Diceros bicornis minor: one gene and its partners. The protein of the gene in region 1 purifies or fractionates together with the protein of each later gene. This does not show direct contact. Links are inferred from orthologs where the notes say so. Each region holds a gene or a part of one and is shown in the gene's direction. Other genes may lie near its edges. The genes, in order: ZC3H18, SSRP1 and NCBP2.

Region 1 (7,418 bases):
GACAAAGCAGTCTGAAAGGCTAGAGGCTTGGCTCTGGGCAGAACCTCAAGCTGACCTGCCCTGTAAAGGAAAGCCACTTAGATCAAGAGCTGGAGGCAAAGACTGCATAGCGCAAACTGAGAGGAACTCACCAATGGCCCTCAGAAATGGCGAGAAAGACAGAAGAACTCAAAGGGTTCTCAGGCACCACGCCTGTGTTTCTTGCTATTCCCAAAGCTGCTGGAAGTCTCCTTCGGTTGTGCTGCTGCCACCAAATCTGTTAATGAACAAAAATTCAACCTTGTCAATTTAAATATCTGATTGGGTTTATTCAATGACTCATGAATCGGGCAGCATCCCATCTAGCAAGCAGAGAGTTGTTGAAATGGAAGGTATTGATAGGCAGAAACTGGGCGGGACAAGAAAGTTACTAGCAAACAAAAAAGAAAGGATTGTTTCAGGCAAGGTCAACTTTCTTTGGGGGAAGGGCTCAGGGGTCTTATCAGATGACCTCACTAGTGTTGACCAGGATTTTCCAGACTGATCCTTTAAGGTCACATTCCTGGGAGGGGCTGAAACTGCAATTAAGTCCTGGTTTGCTGACTCCAGCTTGGGCCTGTTTCTTTTTTCAACACCATTTAGCAGTCACCCCCCATTCCACCTCCTTCCAGGCCCGGTAACCACTACTCTACTTTCCGACTCTATGGATTTGCCTCTTCTGGATATTTCATGTAGATGGAATGTGTTAGTCAACTCGGGCTGCCCTAACAAAATACCATAGACTGGGAAGCTTAAACAACAGAAATTTACTTTCTCACAGTTCTGGAGCCTGGAAGTCCAAGATCAGGGTGCCAGCGTAGCAGGGGTCTGGCCAGAGCTCTCTTCTGGCTTGCAGATGCTGCCTTCTTGTGTCCTCACACAGTGGAGGTGGGGTGGGGAAGGGAGAGACAGAAGGGGGGGGTCTCTCTCTGTTATCTCTTCTTATAATGACTTCATTCCTTTCTATGGCTTAATAGTTATTCCACTGTATACTTAGAACACATTTTGTTTATCCGTTCATCCGGGCGTGGACATCTAGGTTGTTTCCACTTTGAGGCTACTGTGAACAGTGCTGCTGCCAACATTTGTGCTCTGGTTTTGTCTAGATACGTGTCATTTCTCTTGGGTTAGACACCAAGGAGTGCATTAGCTGTGTTAATACCTTCATTTCTTCCCCTGCTCATTCATTCATTCGGAAAACATGGAGCAAACATTTATGAGTTCATTCAACCTCACCATGTGCTGGACATTATATTTGTGGGCTGAATGGAGGCAGGCTGCCCCAAGGAGGAGCCCTTCTTAGTACTGCACATTTCCTGGAGGAGGAAGATGGGGTGAGGAAAGGCCTGCTCTGCTCACCATTCCCCAAAACCCTTAGATACCCCCAGAACAGGCTATATAAGTTGCAGGGTCCAGTGCAAAATGAAAACATGGGCCCCTTGTTCAAAAATGACTAAGAATTTTAAGGTGGGGAAAGCAGGTCATTCAACCGAGCTCGGAACCCTTCTAAGTGCGAGTTTCTCATCTCTAAAATGGAGAGCACACTGTGTGATCCTCTGCAGCGTGGCTCCAGGAGGCTCCACCCTGAGGGTCTGTGAAGGTAGTTGTAGAGCTGTAAAAATGCTCCAAGTATCACATGATGTCCTTCTGATCACGGAAAGGTTACATCGGGTTAAGCTGATCACATTTAGTAAGATGCGGAGCTATCCAGTCCGATGGAAATAGTTTAAAACTTTAGCTTTGATATTTAAACTCTATCTCAAAAATGATTAATTTTGTGTTGAGCTGATTATATTTAATACAGCTGGAGCTATTTAGTCCCACGTAAATAGTTAAAAATTATAAGCTGTGATATTTAAACTCAATATTTCAAAAAACAATTAATTCTTGTGTTGAGCTGATTATTTTTAAGAAAGTGGAAATAGTTAAAAATGTTTAAGCTTTGGCATTTAAACTCCATATCTCAAAAATGATTAATTTGTCGGGCGGTAGCTCCTTACTCCCACAGAAGGAGTTAAAATGCAAGCTCTGAGGCTTAAACCACCTTCGTTGCAGAAGGTCCACCGTCCCACTCACCGCACGACTCCGCCACGCGGGAATCGGCTGCTCCGCGCGTCACGTGACCTCGCGGCCCGTCATGTGACCGCGCGGCGCGCTGACCCTCCCCGCAGGCGTCGTCCGGCGGCCGGCGGCGCGCGGGCTCGGAGACCCGCCCCCGGGAGCGTGGCCTCTGGCGGCGCCTGCGCCGTGGAGGGGCGGGCGCGCGCGCCGCGCGGGCGGGGCCGCGCGGTGGGGCCGCACGGAAGCCGGAAGGAAGCGGGCGGAGGGCGGGGCGGGCGAGGGAAGCCCGCCGGCCCGGAGGACGGCGGTCGCGGCCTGATGACGTCGCACAATGGCCGGCCCCCGCGGGTAGTGCAGCCCGTTTGTTCCGCCCGCGTCGCGCCTGGAGCCGGAGACTGTGAGGAGCGGAAGGGCCGAGGGACGCCTTCCCCGCGCCGTCCAGACCCCAGCGGAGCCGTGGCCCCCTCCCCGCCCTCGCGCTGAGGTAAGCGGCGGCGGCGGCGGGAGCCGGGCCGGTGGGGAGGGGAGGCCGAGACGGCCGGGCGGGGAGCGTGGCGGCGGCGCGGAGCCCAGGCCCGGGAGCCCCGCCGCCGCCGCCTCCGGGGAGCGCTCCGGGCTGCGCCCCCGGCCGAAGCGTGGCTCTCGGGCCCCGGGAAGGGGCCGTGAGAGCGGCACGATCCCGCGCTCCGTCCGCGGCGAGCCAGCCCAGAGCCCTGGACCCCTCGGAACTCGAGCCCCGCGCGGCTGCCTTGGCGCCCTGCCGTGGAGTTGGTTCTCCCGGAGCTGTCATTTCTCTTCCGGGACGTTCGCGGGGCACATGTTTGCCGCCCGCAGGGGGGGCACGCGGGTCGGCCCTCAGAGGAGGCCGGCCGGGCTGTCGATGGGCTCTTAGGGAACTTTGAGCTCGCTGGAGCCTCCTGGAGCTTGCTCCCTCGACGTCACAGTGTGCACAGGTTGGACGCGCTGGCTGTGCCCCAAGACGCGCGCCACTCTCTTAGGATGTGAAACTTTCCTGCGCCTTTGGTCAGAAGCCGGAGGAATGATGCCGGGTCCTTGGGATAAACTACTGCAGCTGTGATGCTGGGCGAACCTGAGTGGGAGACTGCCAGTCTTGCTCCTGCTAAGACTTAACTTTTCCTGAATACTTTATGACGGCCGACTTTGCTGGGTAGGCTGGTTGATCACTTTAAATGAGCTTTGTCCAGCAAACTCATTTGCAAGAGTAGGTCAGACTTCAGATGCGTTTGGGGAAAAAGGAAGAGGAGGGTGTTTGACATCCGAAGTACTGTTTGGGAGCGTAGCAATGGCTCTCATCCTTTCTTCTTAGAGACTCACCTTCATCATAGTTCCCGCAGAGTGGTCCTTTCCCAGAACCGAGGTTGGGATTCAGGGTGAGCCTGGACCCAGGCTGATTCCCACCTCCAAGCCCTGGGAGGGGAGTCTGTCTGACAGTTTTACAATCTGAGCACGTATGTAGCCCACCCAACTATGGAAACCAATGGTATGTGTCCCAAAGGCTGGAACTCATCTCCAGTTTGGGGTGGGAAATGCTCAAACATTGTAAGAAAGCTTTGTGGAATCATTTCAGAGGGCAAACAAGTAAGCTGTGGCCTTGCTCACGTTTAAAGAGGTTTTTTGTTTACTTTTTCACAGCTACATATCGTCTCAATGTGAGACTTACTTGGGGAATTTTTGGTAGTCAAGCTTAGTCATTTTGGGGGTGCTGTCACCAGCCTTGACATCCTTCCTTTGGATGTTGTAAATCCATGAAGTTATGAACCAGGACTTTAACCAGCTGTACCAGAACTGAAGCATTCAAATAGGGTCTGCTCTGTTGAAGGTCGTTATCCCAGAAGGGTACCTTGCATTTCACTGGTGCTCCTTTGCCAAAACCTCTTTAGAACTCCCGTTTTGGTAGTAAATATATAAGCGTATGAGAAAATCAATCTCATTCAATAGTCACACCCCATGTTTGACCAAAAATTGTCTTATCTGGCTTGGTAATTCACCTCACCACCTCTGAATGGCTTCCTGTGCTTTCTCAAAGTGACCCACCTTGAGGAAGACTTGCTGCCACTGAGAGCGCCAAGAGAGTGTTCTACAGGTCACTCAAAGAGAGAGGTTCCCAAAATGTTCTGTGCTTTAGCAGTGCCATTGGAATCAATGTGCAGCCTTCCGGAGTGACGGCTGGGAAATGAGACAGCCCCACTCTGCATCTGAGTTCTGGTATAGTCTTCTAAAACTGGCACTTCTTTCAGATATTTCTGGTAAGCGACAGGTAGTTTATCAAGTCACGAGATTTTCTCATTTATTCATTCGTTTATTCAACAAGCATTTATTAATCACTGTCTGCCAAATGCAGTAGGCAGTGGAGACACAAGGATGGACACTCATTATTCCATCTTGGGGATCAGAGGACTAAAGGGTGCGCAGTTTTGCCGGGAGTGGGTGCAGGCGGTTGTATGAGAGCTGTGAGCCTGGGAGTGGTGAAGACATGGCCAGACCTCCATTTCGTTTTCTACACTTAAGAGGCCACAGGTTTCTCCCAGCACCTGACAGAGAGCACCCACTTAAATATTTGCCAAGTTGAATTAATTTCACAACAGGGCAGACATCCAGAGAGACAATTAACCTGCCCAGAGCGGGCCTGGAACAGAAGCCACCTTCTGACTCCAGTGACACTTCTCCTCTTCTGCACAGCAAGGTGTGACTCAGGGTGCTTCTAATAAACAGGTAGATTCTTCGGCTTGTTTTCTTCTGCAAGGTGTTCAGTTCTGTGCAGCTTCGGATTATGAAATCCCAAGAGGTTCCATAGGGAGAGAAGAGATGTGACTCCTTTCCTCAGGAAATTGTCAGGACATACAGTGACTATGTCCCAGTATGTCTAGGACAGCTCCTGATCATGCCTGTGTGGCTGTTAATGCCCCCTTTCAGTCTCAAGCGTGTCCCAGTTTAGACAGTCAGTTTTGTGGTAGCTCTGCTCCTAAGTGCCAGCCACTTGCTGAGTTAGGGGAGCACAGAGGTGAGTGTGAGCCCTTCCGCTCAGGCACTTCATGGGAGCTGAGGGAGTCTCGCAACAGACTTTGCAAACAGATTGCAAACAGTCGCAGTACAGTGTGGTAAGTATGGATACATAATAGACAAATGGACAGTATGCCTAGGGCAAGAGTTCTTAATCTGGGGCCTATGAGTGGACCTCAGGAGGTTTTGAACTCCCTAAAGTGGAAGATAAATTGCATATGTCCAGGTTTTTCTAGGCAGAGGAGCCATCTCCTTCATCCCATTCTCAGAGCAGTCCATGCTTTCGCAAAGGCTGATTGAGCACCGCTGACAGAGCTCTAGGCCCCCCTTGATGGTGCTAGGTGCACTCAGGACCGTAGGCTCTGCCACCTTCTGGTCAGCGCTGAGAACTGCCTGTGAGAGTTGGGAAGTTACCTTTGCGTCCTTGGAATGTCGAAGTGATTTCCGTAATTCAAACTGTGGAGGGCATGCGGGCTCAATAAAATTCTTGAAATTATTTCCCATGCCACAATACACCAGCCTTTCAGGATCTTAATTTAAGTCAGCACTTCCTGTGGTGTTAGTATAAAGGTGTGCACCTTTTGGGGGTTTCTTTTATTGGATTCATGTTTGGTGTAAGTGCCTAAGATTCAAACTTCAGACAAGTTCAAAATCATAAAATAAATGACTGTTGTTACAAGTCGAATCTCCATGTGATGATCACCATTTTTAACTAATAGTTTACACAGATCATATAGTAACTTTTCCATCTGTATGAAAATGTGTGTTTTGGGTTCTAGAAGGGCTAGGATAGCAGTGTAGATGGACCAGCAGAACACTTTAGAAGGGAGAAGAGAACAACAGGCAGAATCTACTGGTTCAGTACAAGTCCCCAGTTTATGCATGGGCTGTGTTCCAAAAGAGAATTTATAAAATCTGTTTGGAACTTGGGTCCCATTTTCCTGTAGAAACAATGGCAAAAAATGGGGGTTGGTTCTTAGGCAGGGAGCGGAAGCTCATTTCATGCATAGTACAGGGCTCTGACTGAGCACGCGCTCTAGAAGCAGCTCTGAGTTGCAGTCCTGGGGTACCCACTCAGTGGGCTTGTGGCGCAGTTTCCTTGTGTGGGAAGGGGAACATCACTTATTTGGAAGGTTAATATGAGGAAATCGGTCAAATGCCAGACACAGGAGTGGTCTCAGCAGGTGGTGGGGCTGTGGGTTTTATTGCCGAGGTGGTTTTAATAACAGAGTCCTGCATTAGTAGGTCCTCAGGCATTGGTTGAGTGAAACGGTGAATGAATTACTCCTGAGTGCTCCCAGAGACTTGAACTGGATCTGACAGGCATGATAAGAGTATTGTTTCTGGAAGTTGAGGATTACCTTTACTCATCTTCACATTAATTCAGTTTAAATTAAAAGATGTGGAGCATGTGCTGGGCACATTATCAGGCTTGTCTTATCTACTTGTTGGCAACAACCTTATAAAGAAGATGCTGTTGTCTCCATATTTCAGATGAAGAAACTGGGGTCTGGCAAGTTTACACCGTTTGTCTAAGATCCTAAAGCTAGGAAGCAGTAGAGCTGGGGGTCAGGTTCTGCTCAGAAGCACACACTGATTGCAGTATCCCCTGTGTCATATAAGGATACAGCACACCAAGAGGCAGACTTCCCACTTGACTGGCCCGTTTGCATTGGTTCCGATACTGAAGTTAGGCGCTATTTTCTTCTATTTCTCACTCTAGGATTTAAGTTCAAGTTTTCCAAAATACAAAAAGCAATTTGCTTGGACCTAATCATAACAATGAAACCAAAGTGGAAACCATTTTGCACCTGGGCCCCAGAAAAGGGCTGTGACCAGGTTATGAGAGTTTGTGGCTGTGAACAGGATAGTATGTTGCCAGGCCGGTGGCAGGCTTGCAGGGTTGTTTTCTGCAGAGTATCAGTTGTGCAATTTTTAAACTAGTTTGAGGGGGCCTTTGATTTTGGATAACAGTTGATTGGTTTAAGAGGTAACTTTGTTTCCAAGATTGCCATTAGACTGTAAATGTGAGCATCAGCATTGATCGGGTTTCATATGGTAACTGGTTCTGTGTGACTGCCTGCCTACAGGGCACCGGGGGCTGGCTTAAGCAGGTGGGAGACAAAAGTCCCTGCCAGAGAAGATTTCGTATATACACTGTAATAAAAACTAGACAAAGATAAGCATAGGATGTCGTACACAAAGGGAAATCTTATGTGTTTTATTAATATCGTTAGCTAAGGATGAGAGAGGGGAGGCTTCCCGTTCGCCACTGGCCCCTGACTGATTGCTGTAATGCCCCAGGCTCTTTCTGGAAC
Region 2 (7,418 bases), on another chromosome or scaffold:
AAATCAGCTCAAACATTCCAACCTTTATAATCTTATCAACACTTACACTTTTACATTTTTCTCAATTTAATTGTAACCTGAGTCAGGGTCTTAAGGCTAGTCATTCTTTTTTCTTTTATAATTTTTTTTTTTAATAATTTATTTATTTATTTATTTATTTTTCCCTCAAAGCCCCAGCAGATAGTTGTACGTCACAGTTGCACATCCCTCCGGTTGCTGCATGTCGGACGCGGCCCCAGCATGGCCGGAGAAGCGGTGCGTCGGTGCGCGCCCGGGATCCGAACCCGGGTCGCCAGCAGCGGAGTGCGTGCACTTAACCACTAAACCACGGGGCCGGCCTGTATTTTTTTTTTTTTTTAATTGGGCCTTTTCATAGGTACCAAGAAAACAATTATGGTGAGAGCTCTCAAAAATTTTTTTTCGTAGGGCCGGCCCCGTGGCTTGGCGGTTGAGTGCGTGCACTCCGCTGCTGGCGGCCTGGGTTTGGATCCCAGGCGCGCACCGACGCGCTGCTTCTCTGGCCATGCTGAGGCCGAGTCCCACATACAGCAACTAGAAGGATGTGCAACTATGACATACAACTATCTACTGGGGCTTTGGGGGGAAAAATAAATAAAAATCTTAAAAAGAAAAAAAAAATTTTTTTTCCCCAATTTAGAAGTTTTCTCAATTTAAATGATCCATTGTCTGGCCACATTGACGAGTAGGATCTTAATCTTAACAGCGACTCATACCAAAGCTTAAACATGGATGCAAGAGGCGTCCCCAAAAGAGATCCAGAGAATTCACTCCCCAAAATAAGAAAGCACAACAAGCAAACAATGAAGGTTGAGATGACAAAGCCCCCTTATGAAAGCAAATGGGACCCCTTATGACAAACTTCCCTGAGAGCAGGCACAGCTGGACAAAGAGTGTGTCCCAGAACCCCAGTCTACTCGACTGGCCGCCAAGATGCATGCCGGTACGTACATCCTCCGGATGGCAGAGACAAGAAAGGTCACAAAGCCAAGATCCCAAGACATAGAACAAGACAAAAGCCCTGGAACCCCAGTCTACTTGACTGGCTGCCAAGATGCATGCCAGTACATGTATCCTCCGGATGGTTGAGACCAACGAGGTCACAAAGCCAAGCCTCAGACAACAGGCTTATAGACATGCCTGTGTCTTATGACAAATGACAAAATAAGACAGAGACAAGGAGACATAGTGACTGTATCTAGGAGGAAAAGGATCAATTCACCAGTGAGTACTCAACCAGATCCTAGAGTCGCTGAGTCCAAGAAGCTAGCTTCACTAATACATTTTGGGATGGCCAATTCTGATCTCCCACAAGTGAATATTACAACTTGTTAAATACTTGATGTCTGTTATTATGTTTGAGCTAGCTGAGGCCTCAGATTGGGCGTATGACTCTCCCTGGGTCACATATGAATTACTGTCATTTATGGAGCCCATCCCCACCAGATATGACTCCAGGCCACCCCCAAAGTCACCTGGTTGGCAGTAAATTAGAGGTATGGGATTTGAGCGCAGGATCCCTGATCCCAGGCTGCTCTCTCCTACGCCCTGCTGCTCCTGCAGTCATGTGCTGAGCCCTCCCTTCCCCCTCCTCAGCTAAGAACACCACCAACACTACCCAGGATGAGCAGCACCAGTGGCCGAGCTGTGATCGCCAGGAAGAGATGCTCAACCTGGGCTTCACGATCGGCTCCTTCTTGCTCAGCGCCACCACCCTGCCGCTGGGGATCCTCATGGACCGTTTTGGCCCCCGGCCCACGCGGCTGGTTGGCAGGTGAGGTGGCCAGGCTGTGGGGAGCTGGAGGGCAGACACGGGCACTGTAAGGGGAGAGGAGGCTCTGGTTGTTCACAGGTCAACCCCACCCCCTCCCCTGTCTCCACAGCGCCAGCTTTTCTGCATCCTGCACCCTCATGGCCCTGGCCTCTCGGGACACCGAAGGTGAGATATCTGGCCTCTCATGCCGGCGCAAGAAAAGAATGGGTGGGATGAAGATGGATGTTTACCCCTACGCCTGCCCTAGGTCTCCTACTGCTCCCCACATGCCCTCATCCACCCCTCTCCCCTTCCCAGTTCTGTCTCCATTGATATTCCTGGCGCTGTCCCTGAATGGCTTTGGTGGCATCTGCCTAACGTTCTCATCACTCACAGTGAGTATGACAAGCCCTGGCTTGGCAGCAGGGCACCCAGGAGTGGGTTGGGGGTAGGAATGAGTGAGGGTCAGAGCGCAAGAGGATCCAGTGGATGCAGATCAAATACACGTGTGTGTGAAACTGTGCAGGCTGCAGCCAAGGGTGGGTGTGAGGCTGTGTACTTGTGGATAAGACTGTGTGTCAGAGGATGGATGTCAGGGTGTGTATGTGTGTGTGTGTGTATCCGGAGCACATAATGTCTACTGAGCTCTGTTCTAGGCACAGGGGCTACAGCACAAATAGAGCTGACAACTTCCTCACCCTCCTGGAAGCTTCCATTCAGGGGCTGGGGGAACAGGCAACCTCCCAAACAAGTAAACGGACAAATTATGTCGGTACTCATGAGTGCTGGAAAGAAAATAAAACCGGATAACGCGATTGGTAGTGACAGGGAGGAAGCAGCTTGAGACAGTGTGTGTGTGGGATGCTGGTTGTGGGAAACGGTGAGTAGGTAAATGTATTTGTGAGTGTGTTATTGAACCAGGTAAAACTGCCGAACTTGACCATGCCTGACCTACAAAAACGGCTTTTGCACAGCGCTCGACCTCTTACGTATGTGTGTGAATTTCGTGTGTGTTACTCTAAGTGTGTATGTTGATGTATGTGAGTGAGTGAGTATAAGGGTTAAAGGCTTAGGAGTGTGTGGTGGGGGGAGGGATTCCTGGCTGGGCCAGCCTCGGGGCTGTTTATTTCGGATGAGCTGAGCGCAGCTTGACCGCCAAACTGGATGTTTTTGGCTGAATTTCACCTCACCCAGCAGCCGCCTTTAATTCCAGCCTGGGACATTTCACAACTCTCTAAGGAAGCGATTCCCTTCCTCCCCGCCCCCTCCCTCTGCAGCCCCATCTTCACGCTGTGCAACTTGGCTCAGGGCCCTAAATCCCTTCTCTCCCTCGTCCTGCCCCCCACCGCACCCGGCCTCACCCCCTACCCTGCCCTTGCTAGCCGCGGGGGCTCTGCCGGCCGCAGCCCGCCGCCTCTCCCCCTGCCCCGCCGCCTGTAATCTCCAGCCAATGGCAGAGCCCGGCGCCGGCCCCGCCCCCGGCCTGGCCCCACCCCCGGCCCGGCCCCGCCCCCGGCCCGGCCCCGCCCCCGGGCCTCCACGCTCGCTGACAGATCCCAGCCAGGATGCCGGTGCTGCCCAGCCCATCATCCTGGGCTAGCCAGACCGGCCTCGCAGTGTGCTGGGCGGAGACAGCGCCCTTGGACCCTGGGGGGTGGGAAGCACCAAGAGCCCAGCTGCTCCCCGGGCCCTAGCACTTTCCCTGGCGTCCTGGGCAGTATGCCTTGCAGACACAGGGTACCAGGGAAACCTTGACCGAGTGGGGGTCAGCCTGACCCTACCCCCTTTTCACAGCCACTTGGAGGTTGGTGGGGGACTCACTTCTCTGTGTTTATCCACCTTCCTTTCCAGAGCGATTTGAGGTCCCCTTCTGGGCCTCTGTGGAGAGGATTTAAGTTTTGTATAGCATCGAAGGCCCTCCCCAGCTATGGGATCTGACCTGGGGCCGATGGTGGGGCCAGAGCGGGTACACAAAGGGTGGCATGACTTTGCTTTCCCCTCCCGCAAGGGTCCCGCTTGGGCCAGTGAGCGGAACATAGGATCCATTAATTCTTTACTGGTGGGAGCTCTGGGCCTGCTCTGCACGGCAGAGCCACCTCCTCTGGACACCTGGCCTGCCCCTGCCCCCTCACTTGGTCTCACTCTCACCTCCCTAGCCCGTCTCATGACTTTCCTGGCTCAGCAGAAACTGTGGGCCCCTTTGGGGCCACTGGGAGAGTGAAGGGGCACCATCCTGTTAAAGAGCCAGCCACGGTCACAGCCTTGGGGCCTGGGATAGAGCGAGGAGAAAGTCATTAACATGCTCAGTGAACTTGAGTACATTTCTTTCCCCTTTGGGACCTCAATTTTCTCATCTGTCAAATGAGTTGCCCTCGATCACTGTTCTTCAACACCCATTCCATGGGTTATTACTAGGTGTCACAAGATAAAGAGGCTCTAGAAAAAACTAACTTGGGAAGTCCTGGGGTTAAACAACATTGACAAAATTTCTCTTTGAGGGCGCTTCTGGGAGCCTTTTAGATGCTAAGTGCATTGGGAGTCCGTAGGAGGGAGGTTAGAGCAGAGTTTCCGACATTGATTTTGCCTGAGAACTTTTCTGTTGCCTCTCACGGGGCTGGTGTGCCTGGAGCTCTCTGCTGGGCTAGATGCTTCCAAGCTTTCTCAGGTGGGTCTGGGAAAGGGGAGCCCTGGGCGGGGGTCATGGTCTCCCCCTGCTCACTGGCGCTGCTCTCCTCCCTCAGCTGCCCAACATGTTTGGGAACCTGCGCTCCACCTTAATGGCCCTCATGATCGGCTCCTATGCCTCCTCTGCCATCACATTCCCGGGAATCAAGGTATGGAGCTGCCTGGGGGGCCGTGAGGTCACTTGGGTTTTCTTTTCACCTTGACGTAAGAACTGGGTGGGGCTGGGTAAGTAGTGGCTAGTGTGTCCGTGACCCAGTTCCTGCCTCCGGAGGTCAGTACCCACCCCCTCTGGGAAATCACTGAAGCATCATGGGAAGAGTCAGGTGCTGCTGCTAACCAGTGGGTCTGATTTCTCTTCTCTCTTCTTTTGCTTTGCTGTTGTCCCAGTCTGGGCCTTTATCCTCTCTCCTGGGCCGGTGCAAGCTTTCTTAGCTGGTCTCTCTGCCTCTGATCTTTTCCCTCTCTCATCTGTCATTCACATGACTTCCAGAATGATCCTAGATGGATGACTGGCTCACACACCCGCTCTGCTTCGCCTACAGAATCAAGTCCAACCTCTTCACATGCATTCAAGTCTCTTGATTCTCTGGCCTCACCTTTCTGGCCACATCTCCTTCCCCTGCCCTGGGGAGACTGGTTGACTTGGGTCAAGGTCACAAAGCTAGTCTGTGCCAGACAAGATCCCAGACAGGTCAGCCCGGTGGACCTAGAGCCAGAAGGCTGAGTTCTAGCTCTGGGCAAACTTGGGGCCTCATTCCTTCCTCTGACATCAAATGATATCAAAGCACCCTTTCCTTCTTTTTTTTTTTTTAATTGCAATAACATTGGTTTATAACATTGTATAAATTTCAGGTGTACATCATTATACTTTTATTTCTGCATAGATTACATCATGTTCATCACCCAAATACTAATTACAGTCCATCACCACACACATGTGCCTAATCATCCCTTTCGCCCTCTGGTAACCACCATTCCAATCTCTGTCTTTATGTGATTGTTTGTTGTTGTTTTTATCTTCTACTTATGAGTGAGATCATACCGTATTTGACCTTCTCCCTCTGACTTATTTCTCTTAGCATAATACCCTCAATGTCCATCCATGTTGTCACAAATGGCTGGATTTCATCGTTTCTTATGGCTGAGTAGTATTCCATTGTGTATATATACCACATCTTCTTTATCCATTCATCCCCTGATGGGCACTTAGGTTGCTTCCAAATCTTGGCTATTTTGAATAATGCTGCAGTGAACACGGGGGTGCACGCATCTTGACTCATTGGTGTTTTCATGTTCTTTGGATAAATACCCAGCAGTGGAATAGCTGGATCGTATGGTAGTTCTAGCCTTAACTTTTTGAGACATCTCCATACTGTTTTCCATAGTGGCTGCACCAGTTTGCACTCCCACCAGCAGCAAAGCACCCTTTCAACTGGGCTATAATGTGCTCCTCAGATTCTGCCTTGGACTGTTAATTTGTTCGTTTAGAGGGCACTAGCTCAGCGTCCCCAAAGGAGTTTGAGAATGTGCATTGGTGGGGGTGGCCATCAGCTGTTCGGGTAGCAGCAGCCACGGAGGGTGGCAGTTCTCCCTTCTTTTGCAGTGGGGTTTGAGGAGCCAGATCTTACCCCTACTCGTATGGGGGTGTGGCCTTTTGAAGCTCTGTCCTGCCCCCATGGAAGAAAGAGCCCCAAGGCCGAGGAGGAGCAGAAGTTTTCCCAGGCAGCACTGGAGCCTGAGGGGAGGGCAGAGGGTGGCAGGGAGGACAAGAGGAATGACACCATCTCTATGTACCTGGCTTCCCCAGTAGAGGGGCTGACACATTGGCACAGAATCCCAGTCAATTCAGAACCTATTGTCCCTGGTTAGAAGGCTTTGGGCAGAGCCCTAGCACACCCCCCTCCCCGCTCAGTTGCTGCACCTGGAGCACCCATGAATACCTGTGAAAAGTGAGATAAGGCTTCTCAGATTGGGTTTGCCTTTCCCCCAGAGAACGTGCCAGGAAGGGGCAGGACAAACACGGTTAGGCCTGGTGCACCTCGAACATTTATTCTCTTCTTTCCTACATAAAACGAAATGACATTTTTGTGTGAAAACAAGCCTGTGTATGGTGTCACAGGCAAAATGTGTGTGCCTTTTTAAGATCAGAATTGAGATTTCAAGGACATTTTGGACTTGTGGCCAGCAACTTCAGCACCTTGTGGGAACTACTTCCACCTCTCTAGGGTGGCTGGGGTGAAAAATAAAGAGGACGGTGGGGCCTCTAGGTCTGGCTCTAAACTTTTGGCCTTGGTTTTCTCATCTGTAAATTGGGCACGAGGAATAGGGTAGAAGAGACCTTCTGTGAGGCCTCTGAGTCCTGGGTTCTACCTCGGGCTGGAAGAGGCAGGTCTGGGCCCAGGCGGCCTCTTCCATGGGCCTGCCCCCTCCTCCCACAGCTGATCTACGATGCCGGAGTATCTTTCGTGGTTATCATGTTCACCTGGTCGGGCCTGGCCTGCCTCATCTTTCTGAACTGTGCCCTCAACTGGCCCAGTGAATCCTTTCCTGCACCTGAGGAAGTTGACTACACGTGAGTGGCTGTGTGGGGGGGCCGGAGTGGGAGGGGGCTCCTCCTGCTGCAGAGGAGGAGGCTAGGGGTGTGGTGGTGTGATGGACAGAATCAGCTTTGGAGTCGGAGAGACCTGGATTTCCTGAGCTTTCCGAGCTCTGCTCTCTCATCTGTGCAAAGGGCCTGATCCTGCCCCCGGCCAGGTGTTGTGAATAGACCTGGCACATAAGAGGCCGTCAAAACAGGGTGACTGCTATTATTATCGTCCTTTCCGGGTTTGGAGGACAGGATCAGAGTAGGAGGGACCCTAGTAATAGCGCCATGTGCCATGTGGATCCAGAAGGGGGATAGGAAGGAGTCAAATACCCCACCATTTGTGGGGGCAACCTGAATGCCAACTTTCCCAACGCC
Region 3 (7,418 bases), on another chromosome or scaffold:
TACTCCCAGCATGGCTCTGAGAGGGGAGGAGATGCCAAGGATCTGCTCTGTATAGGCTGCCTCTAGCACACTCCCAGACGTTTCCCTACGTTAAACTCTACAGTACCCTTTCAGGACAATTCACTGTTCTTGTGGTCTATTTCTGCTATGAAGCTCTGATTGGTCTTCTTACCCCTACTGCTTAGCATCATCTCTGGAACACGATAAGCATGTATTTGTTTACTATGCTGCCAAAGATGGCTTTCCTGCCCAACAGATAAAAACCAAGTGCCACCTTGGAGACATCCCAGACTCTAGGGGGGGTCCCAAACTCCTCTGGGCTTCTTGGGACTTCTGCCTCTTCCTTCCCTCAATTGGGTCCACAACCTCAGAATTCCCTGGAGGAACCACTGGTGTAGCAGTCCACGTGGATTGTGGTGGTCTGAGTTCAAATGAATTTGTCCATAAACCGTTGGTATCTAAATCTGTGTGGCATCAGGGGTGAGTCGGAATTGCCCTGCAGTATAGCAGGGTGAGTTGCCTCCCTGTTTCCCTTTCTGGAAGAGCTTAGAAGAGCTTAAAAGGCATGCTGGGAAATCGCTGCTACTGGGGGTGGTGGGAAGAGTTTGGTCTGTTTCTTGAGTCATAGGGTAACCGGTGGGATGGCAAGCCACTGACTACAAACACTGGAGGCTTCTCCAACGAAGGGGGTAGGCATGTAAATCACCTCCAGCTGCACAGAAAAGACCCAGTTCTCTCTCTCCTCCCAGACTCCTTCTACAAAAATGGAGGGAACGCAGTTCTTATACACTTCTTTGACAAAAAATAAACTGCTCCCTTCGCTTGCTTTCCTTCCTTTCTTACCAAATGGCCAGTTTATCTGGAAGCTGCATTGCTTCCTGTACTGCTTCTCTTTCTGACTCTGCTGGTCTGGAAAAAGACCTAACAGTGAGTGTGCTTATTTATGTTGAGGGTAAGGGGTTGGGCTGGGGACTGCCAATATTCTGCTCCTCTGATATCCAGAGTAATGAGTGGGATTGAGACCAATGAGGCAGACAAGTCAGAATGAACAAATTCCTCAAGCTCCTCACTGCCAGGCTCAGAGGAGAAGCCAGTGAATTGCCTCTGGTCTGGGAGAGGATTTGTCTTCTAATGGGAGGACAGGAAGATAGGACACATGCCAAATCAGGACTTTGGTAATTAGGAGACTGGGACCTCTGGCTTCAGAGAGGATTAAATAGCAGCACCTCTGATAGGAAGACTGGAGAGTGGGATGTGAAGTCAAAAGTCTGACCATTAGGAAAGTGGAGGACCAGCTACTTTAGCTTCTCCATCTCCAGCGTAGGTCTATGGCTCTATCTAACTCTCTCTCTGTGACTATCAGAAAAGCCAGAGTATAAATTGTCTTTGGTTACCAGCCTAAAAGCTTCTCCTGTGGTTTCGAGCTTTCTAGATCACATGATTAACTGTGTAGCCTAATTAGAGGTGATCAGATATGCAGTCAAAAGCCTCAAATGACGCCATTTCTGTGTACAATGAATTTCCTAACCATGGCTCCATTCGCTGGACCATAGTCTTTAGATTGTATCCCAGACCCTCTAAAATGGGGAACAGGAATCCAGGCAGCTTGTTCCACGTAGGCAGGAGTCCTAACACCCAACGGTGGTGATGGTGGGAGGCGGGCAACGAAGGTCCGGGTAAATGTGGCAGGGAGCCCTGACTAAGGATTTAGGCCCTGGAGTCAAACGCCTGTATTCACATCCCACTCTGTAAGGCCACGGGCAACTTAAGGAGTAGCCTACACTTCCTGATGTGAAACTGGCTGTAAAGAGTTAAGTGAGCTAACCCACACAGAGTGCATTAGCTGGTGCCAGCACTGAGTAAGCACCCAATACGTGTTCACTAGTATTACCATGTGCCTACAGTCCCCAGGAATCCTAACCCATCTTGCCGGAGAAGTACCACGCTCATACCCATTACCCAGCTCACACATTTAATCAGAGGATTTTGGCAGCTGCAGGGCTGTCTTCCCATCCATGATCTCCCCTGGAAGTCACGCCCTGCTAGCACATCAGTGCAGAGGCAGCATCATAGACCACGAGTTTTAGTCCCATTCGCGGAGGGCAGACTGTCTTTCGGGCTGAGGTTTGGTCCGTGGCTCCCTGTCCGTGATGTATCCAGGCCCAGCCTATCTTTCTTCCTCTCAGGCTTCGGGGGCTTCCTTCACACACGGTGCCCTGTCGGATCACAGGGCTTCACCCAGCTCTGGCCAGTGGGACCCCGGCAGGCCGACGATCTGAGTCAGGATTCGAAGCCGCGCGCAGTGCCCGGGGTGACTCCTTAGCGCCGAGGCCTGTGTCGAGCCTAGAAGGGAAAGCAGGCGACCTCGGCCCGGCCCAGCCCAGCCCGGGTTCAGGGGTTTGCGCCCGGGCCCCGCCGGCTACCTGGTGGTGGCCCCGGGCGTTCCCGGAGGCCGCGGCGTAGCTCCTGAGTGAAGGTGTCTTTGAAGCGGGCAGCCCGGCGGCCCAGGGAGCCCGCGGGCCCAGCCGCGAGGCGTCGCAGGCGCCGGGCCGCGTCCTGGCCGCGCAGCTGGGCCTGCAGCAGTGCGAAGGCCGTGAGCTGCGCCGCGCGCCGGATCGGCCGCGACTCGGACAGACGCTCCACCAGCTGCTGGCTGTGCAGCAGGGCGCCCAGCAGCCGCCGAAGAACCATCCTCGGAGCCACCCGGAACCCGAAGCACGCCGCTCTTGCTTCTGCTCGGCGCTCCCCAACAACGGACCACGTCTGCGCCCGCGCCGCTGGGTGACGACACTGCCACGCTTGGATTGGGCCGCACGATTCCGACTTTCTGCAACCGCCCCCGCGCGTTTCCGCTTCCGCCTGGGCCGCGGCGGCCTCGTTGTTCCCGGAGTGGCGGCGTCGCCGACCAGCTGTGTGCACTATGTCCGGCGGCCTCCTGAAGGCGCTGCGCAGCGACTCGTACGTGGAGCTGAGCCAGTACCGGGACCAGCACTTCCGGGTGAGGGAGGCCGGGCTGCGAGAAGGGAAGGCCCTAGGCCGGGACGCCGAGAATCGGTTTGCTCTTGTCTCATTGTGTCGTCTCCCGTTCTCCAGTTTCCCGGGACGCGAAGAGAGGCCCCGGTGCCTCCTGGGGAATGGATGCTGAAAGGGCGTTTGGATGTCAGTGAAGCCCCATCTCTCATAGAAAGGGAGTTTGAGGCTCGCTTTCCCATTCCCTTGCAGCCGCTGCCTGTTAGCGGGCCACTGCAGAGCGGTTTGAGCGGCAGTAGTGGTGGCTCACGTTTTCACGGGCTGTGTCTCGGGAAGCTGACTTGGCGATGAGGGGAAGAGGTGTCCTTTGACGCCTGGAGTATGTGGAGGCGCCTTCCTGACCCAGATAGTGGGACTTTTTATTGCTTTTTAAAATTTTAAGTTAAATTAGCCAAACTGCCCCTTGGCGCTTCGAGTCCTGTCCTTGGTCTGGTAGAACGGTCCTACACAGTTCTACGCGGTGGATGGGAGACACAAATTTGAGTCCTGTCTCCACCCTTAGGGAAGCCCTTGGAGTGGGGAGGTGGACCAGCCAAGCTAGGCACATTAAGTGTCTGGATATCAGGATCAGAGAACTGCTGGGTTTCAGAAGGGGGAAATTTCAGTTTCGCCTATGTCATAGTAGATTATGTGGAAAAGGGAAGGCTGCAGATATTCGGGGTACGCTCTTCAGTATCAGCAAAGGCGGGGGTGGGGTGGACGACACATGAACCACTGGTTATTCAGTAAACTTTTATTGAGTGTTGTTGCTGAAGCCTTCTGCTAAACCTTAAAGGGAGAGAGAAGACAGTTTCGGCACCCTTAGAGTTCATAATCCTCTAGTAGGGATGGTAAATAGAGGTAAGTAACCTTAATCTAGAGCAGAAATGATGAGTGGAAAGGGAGGGGCTGTGAGGAATCAGAAGGGAGAACCCTTATGACTGGGAAAGGAGGGCCACATATAAAAGAGGGTAGGCATGGAGAATGTAAAATGTGTTGGTAGGGAAAAGGAAATTTTGTTTGAGGCGAAATTGAGGAAGATCTTAAATTCATTCACTCAGTCAACAGTTTTTAAATGCTTACTCTATGCCGGGCATGATTTTCACTTCTATTACTTTCACAGTTCTCATTACTTTAGAAAGTTCCACATCATAACCATCTTGAATTTCAAGCATCCTGCAAGATTAAAACTGTGAACAGTTTTAATTAACAGATAAACAGAAAAACGACTTTTTCTGTTATTCATCTCTGCAAGTCTAAAGCCTATAGCTTTATTTAGTAGAAAGATACTGTGATGCGGAATTTCTAGTGTTCCCTGAATGGAATCCACGTTAACATCACACGTTAAGTACTTACACCACAGTTGTCTTAAGCCATAGGGTATTTGTTTGGACATTACTTACAAGTGGGAGAAAACTAGAAAGAAAAATAAATGCCTCCTGACCATAATTTTAACAAATCAGTAACAGCAGTAATATAAAGTGAATCACTTTAATGTCTCATTCCAAAGTTCTGAAAGCCTATTTTAATGTAGAATGACTCTTGTCCTGTGAACTTTTTAGGGAGTATGAGATTGGGGATAAGACAGGGTTTGGATTCCAGCTACAACTACTGAGTAGCTGTGTGACCTTGGACAAGTTACTTAATAGTCTTTCCTCAGGTGTAAAACGGGGATAATAAATTAGGACATACCTCATTCAGTTCTGAAAATTAAATGAGCCCTCATACATGGAAATCCCTGACCTGCAGTTCCTTGATTCTCCCTAGAGGCAGACATAATTAACTGTTTCTTGTGTATGATATCTGTGTATATTCATACTTTTATGTAACTTGCAGCATACCTTTCACGTTCTGTACCTTCTTTTTTCACTTTGCTCTCTCTCGGAGATGTTCCATATCACTGCATGTGGATGTTAGATTTTTTTTGGGACTGCATAGTTTTATATTTATTGATGTACCATAATTTATTCCATTTTCCTTTTGATGGATGTGAGTTCAGATGGTTTCTCTGTTCTACCACTGAATGTGATCAGGAGACCTATTACTCAGCACTGTGCTGCAAAGCATTCAGACACGAATAATGCAGTCTTAGTCTCTGAGTGAAGGAAGCTGGATCAGCATTATGTATGGTGTAGTACATGAAGAAGGGAGGCCTCTTGGGAAATGCTCTGGGGGCCTGAGTATGGATCTACTGAGCTACTTTCCAAGCTGGAATACCACTGTATGGTTGATGTTAGAGCCGTAACCTGGGTCAGAGGGGCCTGCGAGCAGGTCACTTGGTAGGTCTTCTATTTAATCAGTATTCGTCCTCCCCAGTGTGGAGGAGGTGAGAAGAGAAAGTCGGAGGACGGCCACACAGGTTTCTGTGAAGCCATCTAAAATACCACGTCTAGCCCATGATGAGCCATCTTGTCCCCAGGGATTGTCAGGTGTGTTGGCTGAAGTCCAGTTGTATTCCTCTCGCTTCATCTTGTCTTCCAAATTAGGAAGCCCATCAAGAAAGTGAGATATCTTATTTTTAGTGATCCCTACATTTTCTTCTAAACTCAGAGAAAAATATATGAGCATGTAAAACCATCTAAGCAGTTGTTGCTTTGAACATTCTCTATGGAAGTATTATAAGGCAGTTCCCTATCTCTGAAAATCCGTTTATTTTTCATCATGAAGGATAAAAGGGTCCCCTCTAATATATTGGTTCAAGGTCCAGAAATTAAATTTGGGCCATTAGAGAAGGAGCCAGTGCTGAGGATATGGGGTGTACAGGGAAAAGGCATGCCACTTGTGTGGCAGTATAGTGCAGGAGGAGGACCTGCATAGTGCTTCATGGACTCTTTTTTTTTTTGGCAAGGGATTTGTGGTGGATTGGGATGATGAGAGAAGCTGATTCCCAAATCAGAGTTAATGAAAGTTTTTTCTTATACTTAGGAATACTGTTTAAACAAGGCTGTTTTTAGATTGTGTTGCTTAACTTCTCTATTTGAAATTCTAGGGTGACAATGAAGAACAGGAAAAATTACTGAAGAAAAGCTGTACATTGTATGTTGGAAATCTTTCCTTTTACACAACTGAAGAACAAATCTATGAACTCTTCAGCAAAAGTGGTGACATAAAGAAAATCATTATGGGCCTGGATAAAATGAAAAAAACAGCATGTGGATTCTGCTTTGTGGAGTATCCTTCCTAGGTGTTTGATGAAGCTCTTGGATGAGGGTGGGGCCAAGAGTGGCTAGTCACCTGTTTAAAAAATGAGTGAGGATATTCACTAATTAGCACCCCTACACTTATCTCTACTTCTCCTTCCTTCATCTACCTCCTACCTTCTGTCCAGTGTGTCTACACTCTTACATTGTGAAAGCTGGTAACATTTACATTCTGTTCTGAAATCCATGCTTTGTTTATAGTAGATGCTTCAAGAAAAACAATCTTTCGAGAATGTATGCTTATGGTGATTAAAAAATCCAAAGGGTGTAGTGAAAATAATATCCCTGTACCATTCTAAGCCCAGAGACAATCAGTTACCAGTCTCTTGGGTGTCTTTCCAGAAGTAATCCTGTGGATGTGTGGTAGTGTACTGCATGCACTAGTTTTTTTCCCCACCTATCTTAGATTGTTCCATGTTAGCACATGTAGATCTACCTCTTTTTAAGATGGCTGTATAGTTTTTCATTATGTAGATGTATATAGCTAGATTTTATTTATTTATTTATTTATTGTGAGGAAGATCAGCCCTGAGCTAACATCCATGCCAATCCTCCTCTTTTTGCTGAGGAAGTCTGGCCCTGGGCTAACATCTTGCCTATCTTCCTCCACTTTATATGGGACGCCGCCACAGCATGGCCTGACAAGCGGTGCGTCGGTGTGCGCGCGGGATCTGAACCCCGGGCCGCCAGCAGCAGAGCACGTGTACTTAACCGCTACGCTGCGGGGCCGGCCCCTATAGCTTGATTTTATAGGTATTTATGTATGATCATTTATTGTCTCCCTGGAAACTCTATAAATATTGGACCTTCTGGATTTATCCTTTGGTATTTTGGTTTTTTTTTTTTAGCTAATATTTTCTTTTTTGGTCATTTTGTTTTATATTCTGAGAAATTTCCCAGACCTGATCTAACATGTCTTTTGAATTTTTTTTCTGTGCTCTGAATTATCTGTTTCTTTTGGTTGTATTTATGCTGTAAATTTTCCTTAAATGTCTGGTGATCCCTGGGTTTCCAATCGTGTTAGGGAAAAGAAGGCTGAGTTTGTGCACTCAAGCAGAGCTTCTCTCTCAAGTTGCTGCCTTGCCTTTGGGATATGTGGGTTTCTCAAATGCCAAAATGAAAAGGGATTTTATTTTAGCCTCCTGACATCAAAGACTGCCCTCGTTCCTCCAGATAGTTCGTTCAGAACCCTATCATTTTATTTTTATT

Evidence for each region.
Region 2: the proteins of ZC3H18 (region 1) and SSRP1 purify together in Homo sapiens (affinity purification with mass spectrometry; 3 studies listed by BioGRID and IntAct, with this or other methods). This does not show direct contact. The link is inferred for Diceros bicornis minor from reciprocal best matches to the Homo sapiens genes ZC3H18 and SSRP1.
Region 3: the proteins of ZC3H18 (region 1) and NCBP2 purify together in Homo sapiens (co-immunoprecipitation; 3 studies listed by BioGRID and IntAct, with this or other methods). This does not show direct contact. The link is inferred for Diceros bicornis minor from reciprocal best matches to the Homo sapiens genes ZC3H18 and NCBP2.

The regions. Positions count from the first base shown.
Region 1 is NC_080771.1:37,025,280-37,032,697, forward strand, and holds the start of ZC3H18 (zinc finger CCCH domain-containing protein 18), read left to right. Parts: upstream 1-2,391; 5' UTR 2,392-2,563; intron 2,564-7,418.
Region 2 is NC_080770.1:16,425,595-16,433,012, forward strand, and holds the start of SSRP1 (FACT complex subunit SSRP1), read left to right. Parts: upstream 1-2,606; 5' UTR 2,607-2,619; intron 2,620-4,512; coding exon of another isoform or gene 4,513-4,605; intron 4,606-6,894; coding exon of another isoform or gene 6,895-7,028; intron 7,029-7,418. Other genes in the region: SLC43A1 (large neutral amino acids transporter small subunit 3), read left to right, coding at 1,615-1,792, 1,902-1,957, 2,090-2,166, 4,513-4,605, 6,895-7,028. UniProt on the Homo sapiens protein: Component of the FACT complex, a general chromatin factor that acts to reorganize nucleosomes. The FACT complex is involved in multiple processes that require DNA as a template such as mRNA elongation, DNA replication and DNA repair.
Region 3 is NC_080754.1:29,106,890-29,114,307, reverse strand, and holds the start of NCBP2 (nuclear cap-binding protein subunit 2), read left to right. Parts: upstream 1-2,853; 5' UTR 2,854-2,920; coding exon 2,921-2,998; intron 2,999-5,041; exon of another isoform or gene 5,042-5,288; intron 5,289-5,998; coding exon 5,999-6,180; intron 6,181-7,418. Other genes in the region: protein NCBP2AS2, read right to left, coding at 2,392-2,691. UniProt on the Homo sapiens protein: Component of the cap-binding complex (CBC), which binds co-transcriptionally to the 5' cap of pre-mRNAs and is involved in various processes such as pre-mRNA splicing, translation regulation, nonsense-mediated mRNA decay, RNA-mediated gene silencing (RNAi) by microRNAs (miRNAs) and mRNA export.